Arabidopsis thaliana: one gene and its partner. The protein of the gene in region 2 interacts with the protein of the main gene of each other region in a pairwise test. Each region holds a gene or a part of one and is shown on either strand. Other genes may lie near its edges.

Region 1 (6,292 bases), on a different chromosome or scaffold from region 2:
AAATAGAAAAAAAAATATATCTTTGCTGACTGTTTAAGTACGAAAGATTAACCCAAAAAAAATCCTGAAAGTTACATATAAGATAAGAGATTAATACATGATATTTATACAAAACTAGTACCAATATAACAATTGGTTTTAACGACTTAAGAATGATATTATTGGAAATTATTGATCAACAAATTTTTAGTCTACGTTATATTACACGTTAAAAGTATAATGAATTATATGAATGTATGAGATCTACAAAAAGTTTGACATATATTGTCAACATGCATATATTTACTTGTTCATTTTTTTGTATCAGAGTGCTAATTATCCCTATTGTTCGTTTATAAAGTTAGTTTTTGCATATGGATGTATAGATATTAAGTTCTTTTTAGCTTGTAAACTAGATGAATATCGGATCTATTTCAAAATGACGCAAAATTTGTTTGTCAATAATTTTCCTATGATCAATTTTTCTTTTTAAAGAAATTGTAGTTTCACAATATATGAGGTCAAGATCATCAAATCGCAATGCCAGTATGCCACCACTAAAATTTTATTATATATTTTGTAATTTTTGAGATTAAAAAAATAAAATCATTTCAAATATTTTAGCACCAAATAATAATTCTGAAATCTTTCATTTCATTGTTAAATCGTGATATATATATATATATATATATATATATATATATATATATTTTTGGAAATTTAATAATTATAAAAAAGAAAATGACATGTGATATATCTTTTAGAAAATAACGTTAACAAAATATTTTGATTTCTAAAAGAGTTTGGATGCAATTTCTCAATCCAACTTCATGGATGAGTTTGTATACCAAAAAAAAATAAAAAAAATAAAAAAAATAATCTTATGAGAATGAGTTTGTATCCAAATACCAAATTTAACATATGAACTTGCTTGCAAAAGAAAACACAAACGTGTGAACTTACTTATATGCACAAACCAATAGCATAAATGTTAGAACAAGGTAATCAAAAACAAAGAAATTCTCTTTCATGGATGCTAGATCCTTCATTTATGTTCCCAATATTGCTATTTGACAAATAACCATAGTTTTTATTAATGTAGATAATCAAATACTTTGGGAAATCAAATGGAAAAGCAAGAATCAAAATTATCTATCATAAGAATATTCTTTTGGGCACACACATCCTCTTCTGTTTTACATTTCGAGATTATTATCACTCAGTTTCAAAGCTTGAAGTGACTCAGTTTCTGTCTCTGTCTTCTTGGCATGACGTGTACAGAAACCCTTCAGTCTCTCAAGTGCATCCTCAAGCATATGAGCTTCGACTCCGATGGTTATCCTCATCCAGTTCTTCAAACCCAGAGCATCCCCTGCAAAACATTCCCCACAAACCCCATTTTAGTATCAAAACTCAAATCAAGACTCATGCTGCTTAGTTTCATTATTTTACCTGGTAGAAACACGAGATTCTCCTCTCTGGCCAGTTTTACGCAAAAATCTATATCGTCCTTGATATTATCCATCAATGACAGCTCCAACTTTGTCTGCAGTGAGTGAAAACTATTCATCAGATTGAAAGACTAGTAATGGTCTGAAATTGATCAAGAAGCACCAGTCTAAAGAAAACCGATCATAACTACATTTGTGGATGTGTGTCGTTACAGAAGTTATACCAATAAGTAAGTGCAAGACTCAGGTTTCTTGGGACAGACGACACAGGGGATGTCCTTGAGCCTATCACACACCAAATCAACATTATGTTTGAGTATCTTGTTCTTCTTTGCAAAGAAGTTTTTGTCCGCTTTCTCCAGGATCGCTGGAAGTGCAGCCTATCAAAGGAACATACAGTAGTGTCATGAATCCATAGACTAGTTTTGCAAAGATTCTAAAACATATCTAAAACACACAAACCTGAATTATTGTGGCAGGGTCAGGAGTTACGTCAAGATTCTGTTTGATGGATTGTAACACCTGTCAGAAACAGAGAGTAAACATACAGTGAGATTACTTGTTACAAAACAGCAAGAGAGGATACAAAAGAAGTAGCAGTAAACAAACCTTGGTGGTCTCGAAAACGCCCTCGGGATCATTCAAGGCGATCCAGCCAATTTTCCATCCAGGAACAACCCATCCCTTAGATATGCCTGCTAGTGTCAATACAGGGACTATCGAAGCAAACTTCCCCATTGAAACAAATGGATTGTCTCCGAATATAGTTCGGTCATATACTTCGTCTGAGATCACCATTATCCCGAGCTTCCTAGCCGTCTCTGCAACCTAAAATTAACCAAAAACGCAATCTTTAGCGAGCTACGAATCAAAAATGCCTCAAAGGTTCAAGCTTTGCCTCAGTTATGAGTCAAAAAGATGAGCATTTTTGTGTAATGATACAAAAACACAAACCTTTTTGAGATGGTCGTGAGAGTAGACATTTCCACAGGGATTGTTGGGGTTAATTACAACCATAGCCACAGTGTTCTCGTCTGCAATGGCTTCGATACCTTCAAGATCAATCTCCCATTCTTTCTCGGGAAGAAGATCAAACTTGCGAACCTCGAGACCACTGTAAGCAGCACGAGCGTCGTAGTGAGGGAAGCCAGGACGTGGGAGCAAGATGTTTGCGTTTGGTCGAGCCAACGATTCGAACACGATCTCTATCCCTTGGTTGCATCCAGCGGTCAGAAAAATATCTTCAGGCGTTAACTTGTGCGGAAGATCTCGGTTCATATAATCAGCAACGGCTCTGTTCACAACAGAGCAAACATCAACAAAATGTAGATCTATTCAAAAGTTATGGGGTCAATTTATAAGAATACTAAAACTATAGGGTCTAAAAGGCAATTGTAAGATTATACTCGAGTGTGCTTAAAGTTGAAATCTTTGTCAAAATTGATTCGCCGTTGACTCAAAAACGACTCCGATTACGATGAAATTCGAAGAACCCAGATCGAGAATCGTTCGATTAGAGTGGAAGATCGAGAATTGAGTGAGAAAGTTACCGTCTTGCGGGGAGAATCCCAGCTCCGGGACCGTAAGAATTGCCTTTGCCGGAGCGAAGGACGTCGACGACGGCGTCTTCAGCTTCGATACAGGTACGGAAGCAAGGGTAGACGGAAGGGTCACCGTGGCCGAGGGGTAAAATGGTCTTATTGACGTCTTTGCCGCAGTTGTCGAAGAGCATGTAGATGACACCTCTAAGCGTTACGGTGGATGCTTTCGCTGCCTTATCACTTCCACCGAAACGCCAAACGCTACTTTGACCATTTCGTGTTTGCGTTATGGGCTCTTTCTCAGTTTTAAACGCGGGAACCGCTAGATTGGCGTGTGGTTGTTCTTCGCTCATCTTCTCTCTGTGCTTTGAGTTCTTCTTTCTATAAGAAGGCCAAACAAAAAAAAAGTACTATTTGGGAAAAAAAAAAACTTTACAAATGAAGTTTCAATACGGATTGGATTTTTGGTATATAATGCAAAGTTTTGAATTATGGAACGTGATCAATAATCTTGGTGAGACCTAACACAAAACTAAAATCACGTGCCACAAAAATTAATCAAATTGGCAGGGCTTTGTGAAGGAATGTTTGGGCCTGGCCTGATAAGAATAGTTGGCGAGTTAAAACCCAACCGATTAGTCAACCGGAATGAGTTCAGTTTGAAATGTGATGAATCAGTTTGGTTACATTGTCACTAACATGCTAATGGGCGTCAGTGCATTGTGATTTGTGACGTCAAATTTAATTAGTAGATTTATTATCAAACAAATTGTAAGATTAAGGATGTGATTAGAAAACCATTGTAGCGTAAATAAATGGGCGTAAAGGTCTGTAGACCCCACTTTCCAACGTTAATTTTTCAGCTACTTAAAGAGAGAATAAAAGTTTGAGCCACAAAAAATATTCATTTGATACCAAATTCTTCTTGGTCAACAAATTTCTATTTTTAGACTATGGGTGCAAATGTTGTTTGAAAATAAGAGGTTATAAAAAGTTAAATGATCATTCATCTTATGTTTTTACTATTTGAGATAAATAACTAAGAACTAATTTCATCCATTCAACCAAAAAAGTTATAAAGAAAAATTGTTTAACCTTTTTGTAGAGGAATAAGTTGAAAGATCTTCAACTTGTACAAATGGTTTTTCAAAATTGAATGAGTTGAAATTATTAGGTTGAACAAAATTGGGGTTGAATGATCATCTCCAAAAATGTGGATCAAGAAGTTGAACACTTTTCCTTTATAATTTGTTCATTTTTCAACTTTTTAAGTTGAATGAATTGAATAATTTTTTCAACTTTTTCAACTAAAATGCTGAAGATTAATTGAATAATGTTTTTAACCTCTTCAACCTTTTAAATTGTGCAACCATTTGCACCCAAATATTCAATTATTTGTCATCCATTTGGAGCCTATGTTTTGTACATTGATATATTTTAAAAATTATATTAATTATTAAGAAAAATAAATTGTTGGGAATATGTGTCAAAAACCTGAAATAATTTTTTGATGTGAAAAAAAAAATTGTAGAAGAGAAGTGTGAAACGGCTATAATTGTGCACATTGTAATTTTCTAGTGTGAAAGGATAAAAGTGGAAGAGAAGTGTGAAAGTTTCAAGTTAATACCAGATTTTCATTACTTTCATTTAAAGTTCGTCGACGAGTGAGGGCTATACTTTTTGAACTACACCAGCTTCTTGAATCACTGGTTGGTATAAGTGATGCTCGAAAAAATATTCTCCATGTTTTGAAAGAAATTGCTAAAGATATGGGTTTTTTTTTGAGAGCTGGGAGGACGATTAAATAATCTACATTTGCATCTTGGTCAACATGTTAGGTAAGTGTATCAGATTCTTTTTTTTTTCTCTATGAAACAAGTTTGGTCTAACAATTTATTATTGTTCTTGTAGTTTTATTTCAAAATCCCAGATTTACTGAAAGCTGATTGAAGGATAATAATGAAAGCTTTAAGAGATCAGAAAGAACACAGTTAAGTTGCAAGAGAAAAAGGAATGGACATATGAATGAATATTTTGTAGAGAAAAGATTATTATATGCTGCAATATAAAGAGACATATATATGAAGTACATATGAGAATCTTTAAAACAATATTGAAAAGTTTACAATACAACTACTCTAATTGTAATATAGATAAGATATGATATTGAAATATTTTCTTCACTTTTTTAACTCCTTTTGTTTTTTCTTATGTGTGTTTTGTAAGATGTGTGGTGGCCATTGTTGTGAGTGAACTCATACGAGTTATAAGGCTTCTTGATGGACGTGATGATACACTCTGTTCTCCTCAAGATTTGATTGATTTTGCAAGTCTAGATAAGAGAAACACTCTTGATAAGGAAGACCATTACTGATATGGTCTAAACCACAAAGTAGCAATGCAATATATGTCATGGATAGTGAACTACAACTTAAAGAAGATAGGCCGTTCATAGGGTGTTCTCGTGATGCGCCTAACCCTTATCGTGATCCATCGAGATGTGTGTACATCAAAGATTATTTCATCATGCCTTTGATGGAGGAAATGTTTGAAGTTCTTAAAAGACATGGAGATATGTGTACATCAAGGATTACATTTTAGCTTTCTCTTTCATTCATCTCTTGCATAATTATTTGCATCTTCTAAGCATTCTATCAAGTTAGATCTTATCTTGTGTTTGACATTGAGAAAGGTGGAAGTTTGTGTGAGAGGTGCAAGCTTTGTGTAAAAAGTAAAGTTCATTGGTAACTTTTTTTTTTATATAACAAATTTCCTTGGTCATTTAAGAGTCAAGATTTTGCTAGAAGTTATTAAAAAATAAAAATAAAGAAAGATCTTGGAAAATCATTAATTATATAATTCCATGTAATCTATATTTATTATTTATAAATCTTGATAGATTTTGACAAGAAATATCTTGAAAGATTTTGTTAAGAATATTTTATATTTATTATTTATATATTTCTATCCATTATAGATAGAAAATTCTTTTACTATATAATTCTATGTAATCTAAAGCTTATAATTATGAATGACTAATCATTAATTATCTACATCTCACTCTGAAAACTCAGTGTTTTGAATGTTTTAGGTTTTACAATGTCAAACCATGAAAAAGTTATAGAACAAACACTTTAGCGAGTGAAAGATATACAAGATCTTATCAAATCGGTTAAAAAAGTGATGTTCAACAACATGTTCTTACTGTTTTGCAAAGAGTTTTTAATGATCTAATATCTTCTAAGAATGCAATCTATGAGTGTTTATCCAAAGTCAGTGAGCAGCTAAAATCATTAGCATTTGCTTCTTGGATAAAATTTT
Region 2 (6,370 bases):
AGGAAACTTGGTTCGTTGAAACCTCGAGTGATTTACATCGAAGCAGCAAAGGAAGGTGAAGAGCCTATTAGTTTTGGTGATAATGCTAGTCTTCTGAATTATGGACTTGGTTGGAAGTTGAAGACAGTTGTTGATGCTGATCTACCTGGTAATTTAATTCTTGTCAAACTGCATTATGTAGCTCTTTACCTTTGGTTCATGTACTCTAATGCCAATCTTTTCTCTTTGATGCAGGAACGGAGAAAAACAATCGACAACAGCGGTTTTCTTCTGTATTTTCGACGGTAAGTATCTTGAGTTTGTTAGTAGCTTCATAGTGTGATATTGTGTTATAAATATCTGAATAGTTGATGCTAGCATGATTACAGTTTAGTATCTAACTTATACTTAGAATACTTTTCATTGTCAAAGCCTAAGTAGGAGTGTAGAAAAACTAGAACCATACGTCTGTTAGAATATAGAGAATGAGCTCGATAAGGAACAGAAGAATGTTGAAACAGTTGACTTGGTAGACTGTAAAATAACTGTAAACTTCTTCTTGCTTGAGATTATGGTGTTGGTTTCATATCACTTGGCGTTTGTTATGTGATTTCCCTGTAGTTTATCGGATTGTGGGAAAATGCTGAAGTGTTTTGTGGTTTGCTTTGCAGGGTTTTGCAAATGATTCAACACCAGAAATCGGAGAGCAAAGTCTGAAATACATTGGGAGGATATTTTTTGCATTTGTTTTGATGTTTATTCTTGGTGGCCTCTTCACAGTGGCTCTTGAGAACCTTCCTAGATTAATATTGCTCTTTAACAACTCTTTCGTGTAAACAATATGACATTGTTCAAACACAGACATTTGGAGATGTAACTCCAAAAACCTTTTTTTTTGTTTTCCTCTATCTATCACTCATTGATTTGGGGATGTAACAGCTCTGGAATCTTTTCTCTCTGAATTTGGCTTTCAACCCTGGTTATGTGTTTCCTCCTATCTCTGCTCCTTTCCGGCACTCGTTTTTGTCGAGTATTTTTACTAAGTTTATATATATTCTCGAGTATTTTTAATTATTCAGTGTAAAAATAACTAATATTTTCAAAAATATATTTATATTTCGGATATTTTTGGTTATCCAAAATATTTCGGTTTATATCCATTCGGTTTCGGTTATAGAATTTAGTATCTATTTGGTTAGTTTTCAATTTTTGGTTCTTTTGTTTCGGTTTTGGTTTGGTACATTCGGTTCGGTTTATTTGCCCAGGCTTAGATGTAGAAATGGAGAATGGCAGAGTATATTGTCTACTTCAAATCAGACCCAATAGTACTTCAAATCAGCATTTACTCGTTTATTTAATCTACGAAAAAAATTACAGAATATTATACTGAAAAAAAAGAAGAGGGGAAGAGAAAAAGACAAAAGCTGCCAAGAACAAAAATAAAAGTAAACTGAAAAAAAGATTTGAAACGAAAATTAGAAAAAAGCCTCTATGTGAGCTAGTTACTCGAGATTTAAGCATGAGCATGGTTAATATGGTAAAGATAGTGTTGGTTGTTGAAAACACAAGTCCAACAAGTGCTGTTTACGTTTCCAAAGCTTGGTTCTTTTGGCATCGTCAATGGTCTGCTCGATCTATACACCCAAATATTTATTTCAACATAAAATAAATTAGTTACATAACAATATCATATTATTTCAGAAAGTTTCTATTATACAATTTGTTAATATACTATCTAAATTTATCTCTTTGATTATAGAATAAACTATAGATAGCTTGAAACTAGATTTTTGTAAACTATAAACTGACCTTTGTGGGAGAAAAGGTCTGTCGAAGAAAGGCATCAATTGAGCTTTTGGAACCATTTCCTTCCTCAACATGCGAATCTCTTCCTCTTCTATCATCTGTTACATATGGTTCGATTTAATAACGCGGCTTAACTTCGAGTATTCTTCTCAAACCAAGGGATACCAAATTCCAAAATTTCTCACTGTTTTAGTTAGAGTAGTTTCCGTTCTATATCTACTTGTGGTCTTGGTGTCATGAAAGTGAAATGTTCGATTTTAGACAAGCATGATTCATATAAATAGAGAGGTTCTAGTTATGTTTAGTCGTCGTAAATTTACAGCCAAAGAGAGACCAAGAGTCCAAGACCAATCAGAGTACGGTGTGTGTCGGTTTAAATTGTTTAAGGTTGTTTTCAAGCCAAATAATAGTAAACCATTTTTTTTCTTTTGTAATTTACCTTTTGCAACCTCTCTTCTTGTTTTTTCTGAAGTTTCTGGATGTAATAATTAGTTGCAACCTGCCAAGATGATGAATGAGCTCCATGGAAGTTGAAAAAAATATGATGATTAAATAAGAGATATTGAGGAAGTATGTGTAAACCGAATAGTTGAACATTGCACGTTTCACTGCTCTCTCGCCAGAATGAAGCTTGAACTCGAGAGGTTTTTTGTTCTCTTTTGCTGGTGCCTTTGTAATATTCTGATTAGTAAAACAAAAAAAGTCAACGGTAGAAGTAATATTGTGAGGTTAATATTTTTATTTTTGATAGTAAAAAAACAAAAAAAAAAAACAAAATTAATAGTAAAAATTAATAAATGAAGTATACGTCTAAGAAAATTTTGTAGAATTTTTTCCAAGCAATTAATTTGAGAAAATCTGTGTTTAATGCATGCAAGCATAGCTAAACCTTAATAAAACGAGGACGACATAGATGAGAGTATTTGTAAGTTGTAACTTTTATATTTTCTTGGGTAAAATATATTCATGTAACATATGCATTTTGTTTCTCTTTTACGGGCTAAAGATATTGTGGATAGTTGTGATTCTATTTATTAGAAAGAATTACAAAATTGTTCATATATAGAATCTCTATTTGGGTACCTTAGTCGTGGCTGCCTTGGTTTTGTCATGGGCTCTTTCTTTGAGTGGTTCCACTTTGGTCTACAATTAGATTAAGTAGGGATTCAATTATGCTACGATAACTATACTAACATACTGTAGTATTTATGTACAAACTACGAAACACCATACTTTTTCTTACTCATTATTTACAAACTTTTACTGAGAAGTTCACGAGTACTTTGATTTACCATTTCTTGAATTACACAACAATGTTTTTATAAAAACACATACTTACACTTCTGGCATTGTGAAAACTGTAGAAATTGTTGGGACATTAGGATATATATCAAATGGTAACTATATAATGCTGGAATTGGCAAATGACGTTACATAGTTTGAGTTTTTTTTTAATGTGATGGACATTAGGATAAAATTTTGGCAAATGACGTTATATAGCCAAACTTAGACTACAGTAAAAAAAAAAGTTTTTGATGAAAATGTGATCGTTGGATTAATGTGAAAAATGCCTCAATAGGAGAAAAATAATGTAAGAAAAGAAATTAAAAATGGAATCGTATCCTCACCATTCCTTTACCATTGGAACCCAGGGAGAGTACAGAAGAAGTAGGACTTGTTTTCCCAAACTTTGAAGACACGAAACAAAACACTTTGTCAATATGTAAGCCTCTTTAATTTGTTTTAGTTTCATGTATATATTATTACAAACGTGCCCAATTATACATAAACGTGTGAAAATATTTACGTGAAATGTGTGTATACAAATATACGTGCACAAAAGTAACAACGAAAGTAACCACTTATTGAAGTAGATAAAGAAAAAGTAACCAATTATTGAATAACCTTGGGAGAGGATTTTGTGTATGATGATTTTCCAGTACACATGTTTAGGCCAAAGAGATATATAATAATAAGTAGTTGTTAAAAACAAAAACTCAACCAAAAGCCAAACTCCTTTACGATTTTTGTTTGTCACAACTTATTATGAACTCTAAATTAAAAGTAAGTGAAATAAAAATATTACTTGATGAGTGAAAGTAGAGAAGAAATGAAGTGAATTTATAGAGTGAAGGACGAAGCAAACACACATATACAAGTTTGGACATTAGTAACTGTCTTAAGTGGCGTCTGTTGCTACATCAGCAACAAGCTTTAATTAGGTTTTTCTTCATAGATTTCTTTGTTAATATAAATGAATAAATGACAATTATCTATCGGTATACTATTTTGGTAAGTAATGTGAAGTCAAACATAAGTAGCTATGTGTGTTCTATTTTGATTGCATGTAAACGTAAATCTTACTGAGTTACAATATTATAAATGAAAAAATAAAGAATAATATATGTTACTAATGTACCAAGATTCTAAAAACAATATGATGATGCAACGTTATTGAAAACTTCATTAATTAATTATATATAGAACTGGAAAATAGAGTAATTCACATTAGTGAAACCAAAGCATGATAAACTGAAGAAAACATTACAAAATCAATAGATGTGTCATTTTTTTTATCGTAGTCAAATCGAGAACTTGAATCGTGTGAATAATTTTCTTAAACTCGACTTATAAGAGATGACAAATCTTAATAAATCGTGTAGATGTTATGGTAGAAACAAAAGTAAACTAATATTAGATTTTAACCCGCGGTACACCGCGAAGACAATTTATTTTTCTAAATTAGTATATATAAAATTTTGCAAATTATATCTATCTATAAAATATTTTTATTTTATAGTTTACAATTGTTATTAAGTAACGTCCTTCCAAACCCGTTCCACCAAACCCGTCCTGTTAAAAAAACTGCGGTACCCCGCTAATTTAAATTTATAATTAAAATAAATATTTTACGGGATTGCAATTGTGTTTTAGTTTGTCAAACAAAATTTTGTTTTAAATAGTTGTCGAAATCTAGTTCAAATTTTGGAGAAATAAGATTTAGTGAATTGATAAGAAATATATTTAGTTGCGTTTTGCTCATTTTAAGGGATTGCAATTGTCTTTTGGGTTGTCAAACATTTTTTGTTTTAAATAGTTGCCGAAATCGAGTTCAAATTTTGGAAAAATCTGCGTGATATATGGGATTGGAATATATTTGGAATGTTTTTCGTTTGTTAATCAATTTATTGCTGAAAAAACCAATAATTAAAAGTCAGTGGCAGCCATTGTAAATAAGTTCCAACTCCAGGATTTATTTCACAAAATGGCTGCAAAAATGTATATATAGATTAGTTAATAGCTATATATATGATGTTTGGGACAAAATTAATATTACATGTTGTGATTTCGGGTTTGGAGGGATTACGGGCTTCGGCCCAGAACCTTCTGGTATTCAAAAAAAAAAAAAAAAGCTATATATAAAGATATAGTAACCAATATTCGTAGTAGCCAGGAGTATTTGTCACATTTGATTGAATAAGTATTCCCAATATACATTTCAATCCAAAAGAGTTAGAAACATACTTTCAAAGAATGAAATGTATATTCCCCGCATAGATAAACACATATTTCCCGATTTCAGATTGATGATATTGTCCGACAAAAAAACAAATTGGTGGAGCTCTCATGCAACAAACTTTCTGATTAAACCTCCCACTCATGCACGTCCGTAATTTTCGTATATAGCGTCCATCTCACATTTGGGAGTTGTATTTTGAACTATTTAATCATATGTTGTTAATCGCGCGCTAACTTCTCGATGTCAAAGAGGCTTTGTATTGTTCCCCTTAATTAACTTTTCTAGATGGGAGAATCATTTAACTTGTCGTTACATTATTTCATTACTCATTTCAATTTAATATCCACATATTTTTGGCATTTAGGACGTAAAAAGGTAATTCAGATATATGAATCACTACGTGAACGAACATGGTTTACGGATCATTTTTAAAAACATGGTATACGAACTTATGGATAATTTTAGTAATGTTAATAGCTTTTAGATAATTTTAGATTACGTTCAAACTTTGTAAGACCAATTCCTAACTATCAATAATTTTAGATATTAGTTTTTAAAAATATCAATATCCGCTAATCCTATTACAAATGAAGCTACATATAATTTTTTGTTATTTTTTAACCATGTTAATTTAAAAAACTAAATTTATAATAATCTTGTTTTAAAGTTTTTTTAGTTAATCATTTACATTTTTAATAGTTCAGAAAACCCAAGGAAGAATATCTCTATATATTACCACCCAAACTATTATTCATATAACGTAATATTACTTTTTAATATATGTGTGAATCCACTAGCTATTCCATTAAACAACTGGATATATCATATATATATAATTATCTATCTATATATATATAGACGACTTAATCATCTAATTTTCAGTTATTTCGACGTATTCCGATGTTCAGTCATTTCCATTTAGACCATTTATTTTGCGTTACACTTGCATCCCTTTGATTTTCTGTGAAATGTCACCACGAAATGTGAATATATACAAGCAGTTGAGTGCAAATATTTTTATTTTTATTTTTTTAATCAAGCGCAAACTTTTGAATGACTTAAATC

Evidence for each region. Proteins that work in one complex are often made in the same cells at the same time.
Region 1: the proteins of AT5G37478 (region 2) and SUR1 interact in a two-hybrid assay, tested with the Arabidopsis thaliana proteins (one large-scale study listed by BioGRID).

Annotation. Positions count from the first base shown.
Region 1 is NC_003071.7:8,876,975-8,883,266, forward strand, and holds SUR1 (Tyrosine transaminase family protein), read right to left. Parts: upstream 3,467-6,292; 5' UTR 3,325-3,466; coding exon 2,981-3,324; intron 2,725-2,980; coding exon 2,385-2,724; intron 2,259-2,384; coding exon 2,040-2,258; intron 1,953-2,039; coding exon 1,893-1,952; intron 1,811-1,892; coding exon 1,655-1,810; intron 1,526-1,654; coding exon 1,432-1,525; coding exon of another isoform or gene 1,352-1,431; coding exon 1,176-1,351; 3' UTR 913-1,175; downstream 1-912.
Region 2 is NC_003076.8:14,878,922-14,885,291, reverse strand, and holds AT5G37478 (TPX2 (targeting protein for Xklp2) protein family), read right to left. Parts: upstream 3,877-6,370; 5' UTR 3,733-3,876; coding exon 3,691-3,732; exon of another isoform or gene 3,474-3,690; coding exon 3,414-3,473; intron 2,929-3,413; coding exon 2,869-2,928; intron 2,467-2,868; coding exon 2,368-2,466; coding exon of another isoform or gene 2,285-2,367; coding exon 2,225-2,284; intron 1,884-2,224; coding exon 1,789-1,883; intron 1,614-1,788; coding exon 1,493-1,613; 3' UTR 1,298-1,492; downstream 1-1,297. Other genes in the region: AT5G37480 (maltase-glucoamylase, intestinal protein), read left to right, coding at 1-148, 235-284, 651-815.